5 linked regions of the Danio rerio genome follow. The protein of the gene in region 3 interacts with the protein of the main gene of each other region in a pairwise test. Links are inferred from orthologs where the notes say so. Each region holds a gene or a part of one and is shown on either strand. Other genes may lie near its edges. The genes, in order: pde4dip, chd3, immt, mrpl44 and pfdn1.

Region 1 (3,522 bases), on a different chromosome or scaffold from region 3:
GAACAAGCAAAACAATGCAGCCAATTATACTTAGTTAAAAAGCTGAGCTAAGACATTTCTTAGAACCTCTTCATTGGGGGTTTAACTGTGTCAGTCCAGTCGCTCAATGGGAAAGAAATATCAACCAATCAATATGGCCTGTGTGCTGTACTCATCACATGTTCTGGCTGATTTGGTTTACTGACAGCAAAGGGAAACCTGATTTAACGACAAGCTCTGATCAATAAAGTGTTCAGCTGACTCACCGTATTGCAAGCAGCTCATGGCCTGATTTATCATCTGGGACTTCAGAGTGATCTCCTGCGAGGATGAAATAATTCAGTGCAATGTTTTTGTACGAGAATTGAGATATGTATGTTTGTGACTTACGACCGCTGATCTTGGTGCTGACTCTCTGTGCGAGCGAGATGCTTTGAGAGAGCTGGTCTCTGAAGCTTTGGCCCATGTAGTAATCGATGTCATTGGAGCGCAGAAGCTCTTCAAAGGTCTTGGTTGTGTCTCCGAGGTGCTGGGTCAGAATGTGGCACATGCCACGGCCCTCCCGCATCTTCTGCCGCAGGTGAGACAGCTCACGGGCCTGGGCCTGGATCAGCGTGTCAAACTTACTGCAGGGAGAATGGGAAAAAAGTGATGTTTGTAAAACGATATAATGGTGAAAATAGATCTGTGAAATGTGTAGTTCCTACAGCTGATTTAATAAGGAATCATACAGTATATAACTATAAATAAGTAAACAAACATATACAAATATAATAAATTATTAAAACATTGTTTAAAAAAACAAATAAAAAAATGTAACAAATTAAATGTAAAATATTTTTTATGTTTTATACATTTCATGTTTTCACATCATTTAATATTCAAAAAAAATTCTGTAAGTAGAAAAAACATTTTATTATGGAAAGCAAATCAAATATATAATTATAACTTTATCTTACATTTACTTTTATTGACATTTCCATATACAGAGTACGTAAACTTGTAATATGTAACTTAATTTACTTAACTATAAATTAGGGCTGCACAATATATTGTTTCAGCATCAATTTTGCAATGTGTGCATCTGCAATAGCCACATCGCAGGATAGGCAATGTTGATTAGTTGATTACAATCAGTGCAGAGTTTAGTTAAAATGGAGTAAAAGTTTAACATCTGAATGTGTTTTTAAAGAGAAAGTTCACCCAAAAACTAAACTCACTTTACTCACTATTTTCATTTCACCCTCACTTGTTTCAAGCCTTTTTGAGTTTATTTTTTATGTTGTACACAAGAAGAAGATATCTTAATAACTCAAATAAATGTTTAAAACAAGCTAAGGGTAACTAAATAGTGAGTAAATGTACATTTTTGAGTGAACTATCCCTTTAAGGCCTGTGACTGTGTATACATTTCAAAGTTTAAAACATTTGTAACTTTTCCCCCTTCATAATTATTTAAATAGCCAAAAAACATACATTTATTAATCAACATAACTTAAAACACAACACATATATAAACATAATGCCTTAACATTGTGTAAAATGAAGACAACATCAGTACAATACAAGAAAAACCTGATAGCATCAGCATCCTTTTGTCCACTTACAATTACATTTGGCTTTAGAAGTCATTTAAGAAAGGATGCCACATGGCAGTGAACTTGGACCCAGAACTATTTAAATTAAGTCTTATTTTTTCCAAATTAAGGAAATGCAACACATCATTGGCCCACTGTTTAAAAGAAGGGGGAAATTACTGTTTCCAATTGATTAAAATCCAGTGTCTTGCCAAAAGAGAAGTAAAGGCAATACAATCCAATTCTATATTGTTTGTTACTTTAATAAATATTACACAATATAGAATAAATACTATGCAGTGTTCATTATTCAATATCTGAACGTGAATATTGTTAGACTCTCCAGAAATCTATAATTCACTTTATCTTTGCTATATTGCATTTATCCATGCTTGTAAGTTATTTGTTAAATTATTCGAGATTCACTTCTTTACAAAATCACCCCAAATCAATCTAAAATGAAAAATTCTTTCCAAATAAAGCAGTATTCTTATCGCAATATATATCGCAGAAATACAAAATATCGCAATGCCAGATATTTCCATTAATGTGCAGCCCTATTATGAATTAAATAAACACAAAAAGTGAATAATTATATAATATTTTATAATAAATGAATAATATAAAAAATATAAATAAAAAAAACATTAAATTAATTAAAAAATATTTAGAAAAATGACAAGCAATATATTGCTATTTTTGGCTTACACTTAATGCACATTGCAATGTAATGCAATGTATTAATCTTACATTTATTTACTTACATATTTATTATATATGAAACTTTTATAACATATCAAATCTTAAAATTAAAATTGATATATTACTCATGTTACATATTATATTATGAATGTACTCACCCCGGCCAGTTTCCATTTTTGCCATCATCTGCATGACCTTTGCCCTTCCTGAGCTGCTCCTCCAGTGACGTCACACGTGAGACGAGCTCCTGCAGCTCTCGGTCCTGCTTGGGCTGCCGTGGCAGTGACCCGAAACCGTCCGACGACTGCCAGCCCTCGTCCTCTTCAGCTGTACTCTGCGTCTCAGAGTTATCCAGGCCCCAGTTGACCTTGCGAGGAGTGCCGACTGGAGTGCAATCACGCATCTGGGCTTGCAGGCTGCGAATCAGAGCCTGAGATCGCGACAGTTGACCACGCAGATCCTCCACCAGCTGCTGCAGGTACGTCACATCATGTTCAGGTTTCCCAGAGTTGTGTGTGGCGGGACCAGCCCACCACTGAGAGCCAGCATCCCGATAGGAGAGAGATGTGCAGAGCTCCAGATCATCAAACTCTGCAGCAGAGGAGGACATGCTTGCGTCAATGAAATCAAACTTCAAAGTTTAATACACTTCATCAAATTGGAAAGAATTAGACACTCACTGAAAGCTTCTTCTAAGAACTTTTGATAAAATATAGCATTCTCTCTATGGATAAATGGAAAAGTACACTCCCTGCATACTGGAAGATCCTTTTTACATTCTTCTGTAATGGCTCATGTTATCAGACTTTCAGCTTTTGTGCAAACAGTTGTTTAGGTGGGCACAACTGTGTTTTTATTTAAAAAATTAGTTTTTTTTTTTCGGTGGCGCAGTGGGTAGCACGATTGCCTCACAGCAAGAAGGTCACTGATTTGAGCCTCATCTGGGTCAGTAGGCATTTCTGTGTGGAGTTTGCATGTTCTCCCTGTGTTCCCGTGGGTTTCCTCCGGGTGCTCTGGTTTCTCCCACAAGTCCAAAGACATGTAGTACAGGTGAACTGGTAAAGCTAAATTGTCTGTAGCGTATGAGTGTCAATGAGTGTCAATGAGTGTGTATGAGTGTTTATGGGTAATTCCTTATAGGTTGCAGCTAGAAGGGCTTCCGCTGCGTAACACATATGCTGGATAAGTTGGCGGTTTATTCCACTGTTGCGACCCCAGATTAATAAAGGGAATAAGCCGAAAAGAATATGAATGAATGAATATA
Region 2 (3,522 bases), on a different chromosome or scaffold from region 3:
TGATTAAGTTAACCCAATAGTTTTTACAAATTTAAGTAAATTAAACATAACACATGATCTTTAAGTCTATTCAAATATGCAGACTTGGTGTTGAACAAACTTTCCGTAATGTTATTAATGTTTGCTAGAGTTGTGCTGCTGAATATTTTTTTGTGAAAACTGTAATATATTTTGTTAGGATTCTTTGATGAAAATTAAATGAATAAGTGAAAAATTTCTGTCATTTTTCTTTCAAGTGACTCTTTATTACTTTATAGAGTCCTTTCTACAAAATTGTTGTAATTACTTTCAGTATTAAAACTCTTTCCAACCCCAAATGTTTCAATTGTTATGCTGTATGTTAACTAAGGATAATCAAAATCTATGCATACACTGTAAAAAATGCTGGGTTCCACACAATCCCTTCATGTTATCCCAACACAAATTGATTTTAACCTAATCTTTTTTACAAATTTAAATGGATTAACCATCAAACAATTATGTTGTTTCCCAAAAAGAAAAACATAAAAATTGTGTTATTTCAATTTTAAATAAGTAGTTTAAACAAACAGCAAAAGACTATAGAGATTGCCTTACAAAAACAAATTGCTCAATAAATCTACTATTATACACCTTTTGCAAAAAGATGCATGATGTTTTATTATTGGCAAGTTATGCTAACCTTGCTATACATACAGTTTTTGTAAAGAACCATGTATAATTTTAGCTGACTGAAATAAAGATTTTGTGTGTTTCATTAACTGATGTCTGTTGTTGTGGTGTGTTAGTTCTTCAGGAGACTGAACGACTACAAGATAGACCATAAGCTGCTGCTAACAGGAACTCCACTCCAGAACAACCTGGAAGAGCTTTTCCACCTGCTTAACTTCCTGACACCCAACCGCTTCAAGTAGGACCCTACACAAAAGCGTGCTTATTTACTCAAAATGACCCAATTTGCACAGTAAAACGTATTATGTTATCTAAATCTATGATATGCCAATTTTAGTGTGACTGAAGTTATGTAGGCGTCACATCAACAGACATGTTGTAATAATTTCACTAATAAATCACTTTGTTTCTGCAATCCCTCAGCAATCTGGAGGGTTTTCTAGAGGAGTTTGCGGACATCTCTAAAGAGGACCAGATCAAGAAACTGCATGACCTGCTCGGCCCTCACATGCTGCGGAGACTCAAAGCTGATGTGTTTAAAAACATGCCAGCAAAAACGGAGCTGATCGTCCGAGTGGAGCTCAGCCCCATGCAGAAGTGAGACCCACAACCTCAATATCCTTAACAAAATGTGTTGACTTCAGACAAAAATAATAACAATACAAACATCATACATACTCTTTGTGTAAACAGAAAATACTACAAGTTCATTCTGACGCGTAACTTCGAGGCGCTGAATTCCAAGGGAGGAGGGAACCAGGTGTCTCTGCTCAACATTATGATGGACCTAAAAAAGTGCTGCAACCACCCCTACCTCTTCCCCGTCGCTGCTGCCGTAAGAGCACACATTAAATTCATGACACCTACTATAAATCATTTCACTTTGAGCTAGATTGGTGCTAAAGTAACTGATGTAGTGTGAAATACTGCCACCTGCTGTTGGAAAACCTGGCTCAAATGCTGTCCAAAGGTTTGTAAAGAAAATGAATAATAGCTGCATTTTGTTTTTTGTGTCCGTGTGTACATATGTATCCTAGGCTGTTATGCTGTGTTTGTGTGCTTTAGGAAGCTCCCAAGACACCGAGTGGAGCGTATGAAGGTGTTGGGCTTACCAAGGCCTCTGGGAAACTCATGCTGCTGCAGAAAATGCTCCGAAAACTGAAAGAACAAGGCCACCGGGTGTTAGTGTTCTCTCAGGTATGAGCACATGGGTAAATACACATTCACACAGCCTGCTCTGTACACGATACTGAAGATGCTTTATTTGCTATTAGGCTCTCAAACGGCAGTATGTTTGGTTCCCCCAGGTGGTGCACAATGTAAAGTATTGATTATTAGACTAAGCATTTGTTTATAAAGGGATAGTCCACCCAAAACTAAAACCTCTGCCATCATTTACACAAAGGAAGATATTTTGAAGAATGTTGAGTGGAAAAGAGTTGGAAAAAACAAAGTTTTTTTCCAACAGTGTTCAGGAAATATTGTGTTTAACAGAAGAATGAAATTCATAATGTGATAAGGGAATCTTAATTTTTAGATGAACAATCCCCATAACTTGTGTTTACCATGTTTTGTTTCTCATTAGCATTCTGTTTAAATAAACATATATTTCTGATCATTGCAGGCTAATGTGGAGCAAATGGCTTGCTAGGTGCTCCTCAGATAGACTTATTTGATTCGTTGAACGACTTGGTCTGAAAGTTTGATTTGTATCATGTAGTTATACTTTTACACTTTGTTTCCTCGTCAGATGACCAAGATGCTGGATTTGCTGGAGGACTTCCTGGATTCTGAGGGTTATAAATATGAGCGGATAGATGGAGGCATCACTGGAGCTCTCCGTCAGGAAGCCATCGACAGATTCAATGGTAAGATACTTTTATTGCAGGTTGCTGGTTCGAGTTCCAGCTGAGTGAGTTGCATTTCTGTGTGGAGTTTGCATGTTCTCCCTGTGTTCATGTGGGTTTCCTCCGGGTGCTCCAGTTTTCCCCGGTTTTCATTTTCGTTTTGGCTTAGTCCTTTTATTAATCAGGGGTTGCTACAGTAGTATGAACCGCCAACTCATCCAATTTTATGCAGCAGATGCCCTTCCAGCTGCAACCCATCACTGGGAAACATCCATACCCTTTCTACATTCACTGAGGAAAATTTAGCTTACCCAATTCACCTATACCACATGTCTTTGGACTTGTGGGGAAACTGGAGCACCCGGAAGAAACCCGGGAACATGCAAACTCCACACAGAAATGCCAACTGACCCAGCCAAGGCTCAAACTAGTGACCCTCTTGCTTTGAGGCGATTTTGCTACCCACTGCGCCACCCTGCTGCCAAAATTGCAAGTATATTTGAACAAAATATTCATTTACGGTTGAACTATCTCTTTAGGCCCACTATTGAAAAATAATGTGGCACAATAACCACCAGTAGGTGTCAGCAAGTCCCTGTCTAATAAGTGAATCTTTGAATTCATTCAATTGGTTCATTATGATTCATAGAACAAAAAGGACAATACAGATGTTTGTTCTGAAGTACGCAAATGCTTTATCAGGAGCTATTTTAATTGACAAAACTGTAGTATTGTGTGTAACATGTAATTAACTCAGTAATTCAAGATGTCCTACAGCATAAATGTTGTATTTGTATGGTTTCATATGTTTTTGTATATTTTTATAAGATATAATGTAAGTAATATAACAGTATAATTTGTACTTTAATATGGCTTTGTCTGTCTAACATGTAAATTCAAATGTCATCAAGCTGTGACCTATTTTTAACACCTTTTGTTTACTGTATATGCTGAAAAGATCTACGTAAAAATGAAAGCTTTTAATAAAACATTTAAGCATTTAACATTTATTAGCATAATAAAC
Region 3 (2,492 bases):
ACTTAATTATTCCTACGTAAGCAGATGGCAAAAAACTGTATATCATGTCAATCTAAATAGGTTCTGTCTTTGTTTGTAGATTCTGAACAGTAAGATGATGGAGCAAGAAACTCATTACCGCAGACTGACTCAAGAACAGCTGGACACCTTCACCCTGGACATGAACGCAGCTTACGCTCGTCTGAAAGGCATTGAAGAGGCCATAGACAGTAAGTTTGCTAGACGGCTACAACCATTTGAATCTCGATCAAGGTTATTTTAGTAAACAAAAAACCAAGACTAAATCTGTTGGTCAAATATATTTTTGTTAACTGATATAAAATAAGAAAAATCACAATAAATGAAAAACTAGAACTGAAACTAAAACAAATCAATAAAAAAAAACTGAAATAAAATAATGATTCGAAATGATCTGATTCTGCAGCAGAAAATTTACCTTGCAGCTTTTCAGAAAATTACCTGTAGATGGCGCTACTTTTTACTTTTCTCTATTATTTGTTTAATGGCTTTGGGTTCAGTGTCTGTCCAAACTATTTTTGTACTTTTATTACTAAAAAGTTTGAACAAGGGTTAAATTAAGCTGCGCAAACATTAAACTTTGCTGTGGTCTAGACTGGACATAATCTGTTAACTTTGTTATACTAGAATTACTAAAACTACATGTATCAGAACTAAACAGAAAATGTGTTCCCATGAACAAATCTAAATTAAAACAAAAAAACTACTAAATGAAATTTACAGCAATTTTTAATATATTATTGAATTAAAAACAAACTAAAAATGCTGAACTAAAAAACCTTGATCTCGATGTGACTTGACTGATATTGTTTCTCATTTTTCACATATCAAATATTTGTTTTGTCTTCAAGGTCATGTGATTGCTGAGGAAGAGGCTCGTAAAGCTCACCAGCTGTGGCTTTCGGTTGAAGCTCTAAACTACACGCTGAAATCTGCAGGTGCTGATTCCCCCACTGAGCCTCTAGAGGGCGCTGTACGTGCTATTAAAGAAAGCTGCGCAGAAAACGAATTTGCACAGGCACTGGCCATCGCCATTCCTGAAGAGTCCCTCAACCGAGGAATCTACAGTGAAGCTTCCCTTCGCGCACGTTTCTACGACATCCGCAGGCTCGCACGACGTGTGGCGCTTATCGACGAAACCCGCAACAGCCTTTACCAGTACTTCCTGTCCTACCTACAGTCCGTCCTTTTGTTTGAGAGGGATCAAGAAGCGCCACCTGCGAAACTAGCCCCTGAAGACCTTGACACATTCAAGCTGCTAGCCTACGCTACTTACAGCATCGAGCGCGGCGACCTGGAACTAGCCGCTAAGTTCGTCAACCAACTTCGCGGAGAATCACAGCGCGTGGCGCAGGACTGGCTCAAAGAAGCCCGGCTCACTTTAGAAACAAAGCAGGTGATTAGCTTGCTATCAGCATATGCTAATGCCGTAGGCTTGGGCACCACACAGGCCCCTTAGCCACACCCACTCTGTGGAGATTATGTAAATTATGAGGAGTGTTGCTCGCCCGCTATTAATAGAACCTTCCGCTCCTCTGATTAATTTATTAATAGGTTGCGTGCTAGCCCAAAATATTAGCGTTTCTCATCTCCCCGATGCACTTTTTTCCAGGAAGTCCTTGCCCTTAAAAGTACTCTTAAGTGGCCTACCATGCAGAACAACCAGTAGCTGTACCTCATTTGCGGGAAACGCATCTCAAAGGTTTTGTTGAGCTTGGCAGTGGCACTCCTCAGTGTATATGGTGCACTCTCACTGGTTAGGATCAAATGCGCAGGTTGAAGGGCCGCTGGATCAGCACTGTGGTTGGCAGCTTTACTCCTGTTCACCATTTCACAATGTAACTCTTCAGTTTCAAAGTTATATTTACTGGTTGTTTATTAACCCAGACTGTTGAGAATCAGTCCTTCTCTCATTCAGTATTGGCGATCAATAAATCATGGTTGTTGACATGAATGGCATTTCGGTGTTTTGCATGTCTGTGAATTTGGATGAAAGTGATAGTTTGATAGTTTCTCCCCCCACAGGAAGTGACATGGGAGAGAGAGTGAGAGTGAGTTAGGGATAGGAAATGTCCTACAGCCGGGATTCGAACTCGGGCACCCTGAAGTGCTACTACACCATATGTCAGCACACTAACCACTAGGGTATTGCGCTGACTTTTCAGCACATTTCTAAACATAATAGTTTTAATAACTCATTTCTATTAACTGATTTATTTTATCTTTGCCATGATGACAGTAAACAATATTTGACTAGATATTTTTCAAGACACTTCTATACAGCTTAAAGTGACATTTAAAGGCTTAACTAGGTTAATAAGGTTAACTAGGTGGGTTAGGTTTTTTAGGCAAATCATTGTAAGTTATTACAAATCAATGGTTTGTTCTGTAGACTCTTGAAAAATATAGCTTAAAGGGGCTAATAATTTTGATCTTAAAATTATTTTTTAAAATTAAAAATTGCTTTTATTCTA
Region 4 (3,522 bases), on a different chromosome or scaffold from region 3:
CTGAACAGCCGAACTTTGATTACCATGCTGAGGTGGAAGCTTTCGGAGTCCGTCTGCAGGAGAGTTTCTCTGTGGATTTGCTGAAGACGGCGTTTGTGAATTCCTGTTACCTACGCTCTGAGGTGGAGAGGAGGAAAGCGCTGGGTTTGGATTCAGAGTCCGCCATCCTTAACCTGAAAGACAACACTGAGCTGCGTGATCACGGTCAACACTTCACTACGGTAAGCACAGTCAGATCACAGTTGCCACGCCAGACAAAGCAGATCTATGCCCGGTTGCCAGATCTGTTTTGTTGATATCTGTCTAACATCAAAACTGTATTAATTAGGCTTTTATCAAAGAGGAACTTGGCTGTAAAATGCAGAAGCAGGAGCCAACGGAAAGGTAGTAAAGAAAAGTAGAGTTAAATCATCTGAGTTGCAAGATTTGAACAGATTTATGCATGTTGAAAATCAACGTTAGAATCTGTTAAAACAACGTTAGTATCTGTTAGCTTTTACTGTAAGGGAAAAACTGGCTAATTTTGAGCTTTACCCCTCTAATTTTTTAAAATCTTTCAGCTTTAAAATCTCTGTCAGGCAGCGTTACTTTTGGTGATGTAGCATAAGCCTCTGTGTACTCCAGTGAAGTGTTAGCTGTCTAAATATTATTCATGAGACTGAGTTTTGTTATTCTATAGGAAGAGCTGCTTCTGAATAATTCAGTCAGTCTGACTTATGAAATCAAATATCCCTCAAACATACACAATATAATTTAAACAACAGAGGTTAAACCATAGTTATAACACTAAATATATGATTAAATTAACCCTTGTGTATTGTTGAAATGCACTACCCTTTCATAATCTTTTTGGCTGTTTTTACCCCATTGACTTTCATTATAATGACATTTTTTGATTGCAAAGCCATGACAGCATATAATCCTGCATTCTTGATTGTTGGTGGTTTTCCCTGTTGAGAAGAGGTCAAATTTGTAATTTTTACTGTTAATCATCAGTTGACACTATTATCCCTTTAGAAAAACTTCTATGGAGAACAACAACAAATGAAAGTGTGTATGCATAAATACACACTACCTGACAAAAGTCTTTTCATCGATCACAGTTGTAAGAGCAACAAATAATAACTGGACTTCTAGTTAATCATTTGGAAAACTGCCTGAAGGTAGATTTTTCTGATGAATTATTTATTGAACTGCATCCCAATCATCACAAATACTACAGAAGGAACTAAGATTGGAACCTGCATGGACCCAGGATTCTCACAGAAATCAGTCAAGTTTGGTGAAGGAAAAGTCATGGTTTGGGGTTACATTCAGGTTGTGGGGCTTGCTAGAGATCTGCAGAGAGGATGACGACATCAACAGCCTGAGGTATCTATACATTTGTTCTAGCTATTACATTAAAAACCACAGGAGAGGGCTAATTCTTCAGCAGGATAGCGCTCCTTCTCATACTTCAGTCTCCACATCGAAGTTCCTGAAAGCAAAGAAGGTCAAGGTGCTCCTGGATTGGCCAGCCCAATCACTAGACATGAACATTATTGAGCATGTCTGGAGTAAAATAGAGGAGGCATTGAAGATGAATTAAAATAATCTTGATGAACTGCAGGAACGCTTTTTTTGTCATTCCAGATGACTTTATTAATAAATTATTAGAGTCATTGCAGAGATATATAGATGCAGTCGTATAAGCTCATGAAAGTCAAACACAATATTAACTCTTTTTCCACTCCATCATGACTTTATATTCTACACTGTACATTATTTCTGTTAAGTTACAAGATTTTTGTCTAAGCAAACTCAAGGCTGATTTATACTTCTGCGTCAAACACCGGCGTATGCTACGGCGCTGACGCATAGCCCTTCGCCGTGGCCATTGCCGTCGCTGACGTGCACCTCTCAAAATTTGTAACTACACGTCGCAACAACGCGTAGCGCAAGCTCTGTGATTGGTCGGCTTGCTAGCGCCGACGAGTCTGGGCGGGACCGAAAGCCGCGCGAATGGCGCGAGCGATTGTTTACAAGTGTGGAGTCCCGTGAAGGAGCTCCGGATGGAAAGTTTTGTTCTGTGTTTACCTCATGGTTAAAGTTGTTGCACGTCTGCCGGTTCCTGCCTCAAAATGAGCGAGTTTGAGTCACTTGTACATCCAGGAAGTGTTCAGAATAGCAAAACAGAAGCGAAGAAACTCGACACAGAGGAACATTTACACCTCACTGCCCACTAGCGTTTCGGAAGTGTTAATGCAGACCAACAAAGACAGCGCGCAGAAGTATAAATGCACAGCTGCGCGCGTTGCCTGCGCCGTGAGTTGCGCCGGTCACTTGACGCAGAAGTATAAACCAGGCTTCAGACCTTACTGTACAAATAATTAAAAATCAAGGCATGATCATGTTTTGTTTTGGTAAAATAAGTGTAAAAATCAAGTTATTATTTGTTGGTCCTAAAAACTTAGGATAGGCGACAAGACTTTTGTCATGTAGTGTACACTTAAGGCTGATTTATACTTCTGCGTCAAACACCGGCGTATGCTACGGCGCTGACGCATAGCCCATCGCCGTGGCCGTCGCCGTCACTGACGTGCACCTCTCAAAAATTGTAACTACACGTCGCAACAACGCGTAGCGCAAGCTCTGTGATTGGTCGGCTTGCTAGCGCCGACGAGTCTGGGCGGGACCGAGAGCCGCGCGAATGGCGCGAGCGATTGTTTACAAGTGTGGAGTCCCGTGAAGGAGCTCCGGATGGAAAGTTTTGTTCTTTGTTTACCTCATGGTTAAAGTTGTTGCACGTCCGCTGGTTCCTGCCTCAAAATGAGCGAGTTTGAGTCACTTGTACATCCAGGAAGTGTTCAGAATAGCAAAACAGAAGCGAAGAAACTCGACACAGAGGAACATTTACACCTCACTGCCCACTAGCGTTTCGGAAGTGTTAATGCAGACCAACGGAGACAGCGCGCAGAAGTATAAATGCACAGCCACGCGCGTTGCCTGCGCCGTGAGTTGCGCCGGTCACTTGACGCAGAAGTATAAACCAGGCTTTACTATGTTTACTGTGTTGTAAGAGCTGAGCTGCTGTCTGATTTTTCAGACATATCAAAGTAAGTGAGCAAAGGTCTCTCTCTCTCACATGTGCACACATGTACTCCATATAAAAGCCAGAAACTATGTTTTTTTTTTCACTGCAACTGTTGATCACTAGTAAAAATTGCTAATTTTACCTGTTTCTAACAGGTATCTATCAAAAAATGTCATTATAATGAAAGTCAATGGGGCAAAAACAGCCACCAACACAACGGAAGGGTAGTAAATTTGCTCAGTGTATTGTTGAGCTTTTGAAAACTTTCAAAGCATTTTCCTAAAATATTTGTCAAAATAAGATTTGTAACCAAAAGTCTTTTCATATGCTAAAACACAGAGAAAGTTTTATCCAAATTAAGACTCAAAATAACCCGGGAGTGGATGAAAACATCCCAAACAGCCCACAAGGGTTAAATAATTAAATGAAGAATAAATCCGTGTAAAATA
Region 5 (4,075 bases), on a different chromosome or scaffold from region 3:
CCTTTTTTATATGTATTACTGAGAAAGTGTAGCTTAAATTAAGTGAAATAAAATGGAATACGTTTATTAGTGTGTTTGTTTTATGCGTTTAGTATAAATTACATGATTTCATGTACTAATTTCAAGCAATGGTAACAAATTTCTGCTGTTTAATAAACTATTGTGACTTTCTAAGTGTCTCTTATTTTTGTTGAAAACCTGGGAAAGATTCATAAGTGGCACCGTATTTGTCACAACTAATTAATTCATTCATTTTACTTCGGCTTAGTCTCTTTATTTATCAGGGGTTTGCCCCAGTGGAATGAATCACTAACCAGCACATGTTTTACACAACAAATGCCCTAATAACTGCAACCCAGTACTGGACAAGATACATAAACACTCATTAAATTCACACACATACAGTACCAATTTAGTTTATTCAATTCACTGCATGTCTTTGAACTGTGGGGGAAACCGGCGCACCCTGAGGAAACCCACGCCAACATGGAGAGAACATGCAAACTCCAAAGAATTGCCCACTGACCCAGCTGGGACTCGAACCAGAGATCTTCTTGCTGTGAGAAGACAGTGCTATCCACTAAGCCACCGTGTCGTCCCACAACCAATAATAAAACTATTTTTATTATTTAGATTTACTATTTTTTATTTATAAAATTTTAGTGTGTCGGATATAAATCTGCAGATATACAGATGTATGTTGTAAAGTTTAAACACTCACTGTGTGAAGTTATAAAAATATTGTGTTGTCATTACTACATCTGATATACTTGTCTTTAGCTTGGAGATTTAAGTCTCAAGTTGGTTTACCATCATTTGTCTCCTGAGGAAACCAAACAGAGTGTTAACAGGAGTTAAAATGCAGAACATACACGACTTTACAATACAAAACAACACGTTAATAGTAATAAAAAAATCTTGAGCAATGTTGCCACTGGGGTGACACATTTTACATGTAGCACACAATAATAGACACTAAAAATAAGTCCGCTTAAAGTCCGCTTAAATTAAGAGTCAGCTTCTAAACATTTTGACGCTAACATTGGTATAACGCTGAAACCTTTATCATATACTGTCATTTCTGTTGCACTGTTTTGAGATTGAAAGTAGTCCACAAACTTACCGTGTCTGCAAAACTACCGAGCTGCCTTTTTAGTGAACATTTATTGTGGATTGCCTGCCTGTCTGACATTGAAAATGTTGTCTATGTAGGCCGCTCACTAGGTTTTGCAACAAGCTCTTTGTTTCGCGCATGCGCAGGGACTCGTACCACTTAGCATCATGGCGGCTCCCGTAGACCTCGAGTTGAAGAAGGTAAAGGGTGGTTTTTGGTTTTATATCTAAAAACCAAACAGAGTTGTTACTTTGTTATGATAAAATACTGAATAAATGTTATTAAGCTTTTGTGGAGCAGAAGTAAGGTATAAAACTGTTTAAGCAACGCGATCTGTCAGTGTGTAACGTAGGTGCATGCGAATCCTTTTAATGTGTATTGTTTGTTATAAAGATGTGCAACGTCATATTTATAGTTTACCACTGTAAATCCTTTAGAAATGAATATCCAAACACATATCAATCTATCAACACATCATTACATGCTATAGGAAGCTTTCAATATGGCTTATTCTTTAGTTTTTGCTTATCCATATATATATATATATATATATATATATATATATATATATATATATATATGACATAATTTGTTGAAATATAACTGTTACAGCTATAGGAAATGCTGGATTTGCTGTATTACATATGAATTTGATAAAAAATTTATTATTGTGCTGTCAAAAAGAGCTGTCAAATGTTTAATCATAATTAGTCACATGCAAAATAATATTTTTTATTTACAAAATATTTAGTGATGTCTATATTTATGTATATTTTATATATATTTATAGATTATATGTTGTGACTTTCTAAGTGTCTTATTTTTGTTCTAGAATTTATGTTGAAAACCTGGGAAAGATTTATTAGTGGCACCAAATTTGTCACAACTAATTCATTCATTCATTCATTTTACTTCGGCTTCTCTTTATTCATCAGGGGTCGCCACAGTGGAACGAATCGCCAACTTATCCAGCACATGTTTTACATAACGAATGCCCTACCAACTGCAACAACATATAACAACATATAAATTGTTTAAATATAACAGTTACAGCTATAGGAAATGCTGAATTTGCTGTATTACATATGAATGTGAAAAAAATGTTATTATTGTGCTGTCAAAAAGAGCTGTCAAATGTTTAATCGTAATTAGTAACATACAAAATAATATTTTTTATTATATCTATAGATGATTTATTATTATAAAAATACAGTTATATTTATGTATAATTAGTATTATATGCAAACATTAATGATAGATAATTATAAATAAACATTTTTTTTTAAATGAATGTGTATTAATATATTAATATATACATAAGATATTTTATTTGCATTCATTTTGCAATGCAATAATCACAATTACTCATTTGATGACACATACAAATTATAAATATAAAGCTTTTATAAATAGAAACAAAATCTGTGTTATTTCCAGGATATCTGTGGGGTCTTAAAAAGTCTTAAAATGTCTTAAATCTCAAAAACAAAATTTTAGGCCTTAAAAAGTATTAGATTTACTAAAATATTGTGTTGTAGGTCTTAAATATTTTTTAGCAGGTCTTAATTTTCCTATGTTCATGAATAACTACCCAATCTGGCCATTAACACTCAACAATCACCAACAATCCCAATCTCAATAAAACTTTTAACGTTTTATTTAAAAATAGCATTTAATTACTTTTCTCACAGTAACATTTGTTAAAAAGTACTCCACTTTATATACCGCTGTGGTTGCTGACCTGACCTACATTTTGTATTATTAAAATATTATTATTGTAGACGGAAGTAATTGACAGCTATGCTTTGTTCTATTCTTGGTAAGGGTTATAGGAAGGCCCACACGGAATCTGCGCATGCAAATTTCCGCAGACTTTTAGCCCATCATTGAGTCTATTTATTTACTTGTATAAATGTGTATAAAATTATATTTATTCAGTTTTAAATTGTTTTCAATAATATTATTGTGATATAACAATAGTAATATTAAAATGTTCATATGATGTATTTACAATTCAGTTTTTAGAGTAATATTTTCTGTCTTTTAGTGGATGTATTATGAGAAACTTGCTTTGTTTACTAAATACGTGGATCTAGTTGGATTTGCATTGTAAACATAAGAGCTAAAAAGCTGTTGCTTTTATTTCATGTATTAAGTTTTTAGTTATGACGCTATAACCATAATCATTCCACAAAAATCAGCTGTTTTATTTTTTTATTTTTTTATTTTACAAATTTCTCAGCAGAAATAGCAAAAATGTCAGCAGATTCTGTCTGGCCCTGATTATTGGGTTTGTAGATGAATATTTTTGAAAATTTATAAAAAAAATATTGAAACATAATATTTCCTGTATTCAATGTTAATATTTTTTTTATCTAGCAAGTGAAAATCTTTTCTAACTTGGATATAAAAAATCCTCAGCATTAAGTTCTGTATAAGTCTAAAATTGCATTCATAATGGTCTTAAAAATGTCTTAAAATGTCCTAAATTTAATTTTGTGAAACCTGCAGAACCCTGTATTTCATTCAGAAAACAAAAATCAATGTCATTTCCGCCAAATTTAGATTTTTTTTTAACTCATCAGAAGCGACGTGTTTTCTAAAACAGAATATAAACATGTATGCACGTTTTTTGCTATTTTATGCAAATTCAGGGAAAAAAATGAATAAAATTTTATTGTAAATTTACAGTTGAAGTCAGAATTATTAGCCCCCCTGTTAATTTTTTCCCCCAATTAAGCATAAAAGTTTTAATAGATCATTTCTAATAACGGATTTATTTTATCTCTGCCATGATGACAGTAAATAATATATTACTAGATATTTTTTAAGACACTACTATACAGCTTAAAGTGACATTTAAAATTTAAAAACTGCTTTTATTCTAGCCGAAATAAAACAAATAACACTTTTTCCAGAAGATAAAAATATTATCAAAGATGCTGTAAAAATGTTCTTGCT

What was found.
Region 1: the proteins of immt (region 3) and pde4dip interact in a two-hybrid assay, tested with the Homo sapiens proteins (2 studies listed by BioGRID and IntAct, with this or other methods). The link is inferred for Danio rerio from reciprocal best matches to the Homo sapiens genes IMMT and PDE4DIP.
Region 2: the proteins of immt (region 3) and chd3 interact in a two-hybrid assay, tested with the Homo sapiens proteins (2 studies listed by BioGRID and IntAct). The link is inferred for Danio rerio from reciprocal best matches to the Homo sapiens genes IMMT and CHD3.
Region 4: the proteins of immt (region 3) and mrpl44 interact in a two-hybrid assay, tested with the Homo sapiens proteins (2 studies listed by BioGRID and IntAct). The link is inferred for Danio rerio from reciprocal best matches to the Homo sapiens genes IMMT and MRPL44.
Region 5: the proteins of immt (region 3) and pfdn1 interact in a two-hybrid assay, tested with the Homo sapiens proteins (2 studies listed by BioGRID and IntAct). The link is inferred for Danio rerio from reciprocal best matches to the Homo sapiens genes IMMT and PFDN1.

The regions. Positions count from the first base shown.
Region 1 is NC_133195.1:37,890,418-37,893,939, reverse strand, and holds part of pde4dip (myomegalin), read right to left. Parts: intron 2,850-3,522; coding exon 2,417-2,849; intron 606-2,416; coding exon 370-605; intron 301-369; coding exon 246-300; intron 1-245. UniProt on the Homo sapiens protein: Functions as an anchor sequestering components of the cAMP-dependent pathway to Golgi and/or centrosomes.
Region 2 is NC_133182.1:20,717,900-20,721,421, reverse strand, and holds part of chd3 (chromodomain-helicase-DNA-binding protein 3), read left to right. Parts: intron 1-767; coding exon 768-889; intron 890-1,074; coding exon 1,075-1,248; intron 1,249-1,344; coding exon 1,345-1,486; intron 1,487-1,716; coding exon 1,717-1,848; intron 1,849-2,401; coding exon 2,402-2,519; intron 2,520-3,522.
Region 3 is NC_133189.1:18,417,887-18,420,378, forward strand, and holds the end of immt (MICOS complex subunit MIC60), read left to right. Parts: intron 1-79; coding exon 80-209; intron 210-869; coding exon 870-1,477; 3' UTR 1,478-1,972; downstream 1,973-2,492. UniProt on the Homo sapiens protein: Component of the MICOS complex, a large protein complex of the mitochondrial inner membrane that plays crucial roles in the maintenance of crista junctions, inner membrane architecture, and formation of contact sites to the outer membrane.
Region 4 is NC_133190.1:37,847,710-37,851,231, reverse strand, and holds part of mrpl44 (large ribosomal subunit protein mL44), read left to right. Parts: coding exon 1-221; intron 222-3,522. UniProt on the Homo sapiens protein: Component of the 39S subunit of mitochondrial ribosome. May have a function in the assembly/stability of nascent mitochondrial polypeptides exiting the ribosome.
Region 5 is NC_133196.1:32,811,837-32,815,911, reverse strand, and holds the start of pfdn1 (prefoldin subunit 1), read left to right. Parts: upstream 1-1,268; 5' UTR 1,269-1,281; coding exon 1,282-1,314; intron 1,315-4,075. UniProt on the Homo sapiens protein: Binds specifically to cytosolic chaperonin (c-CPN) and transfers target proteins to it. Binds to nascent polypeptide chain and promotes folding in an environment in which there are many competing pathways for nonnative proteins.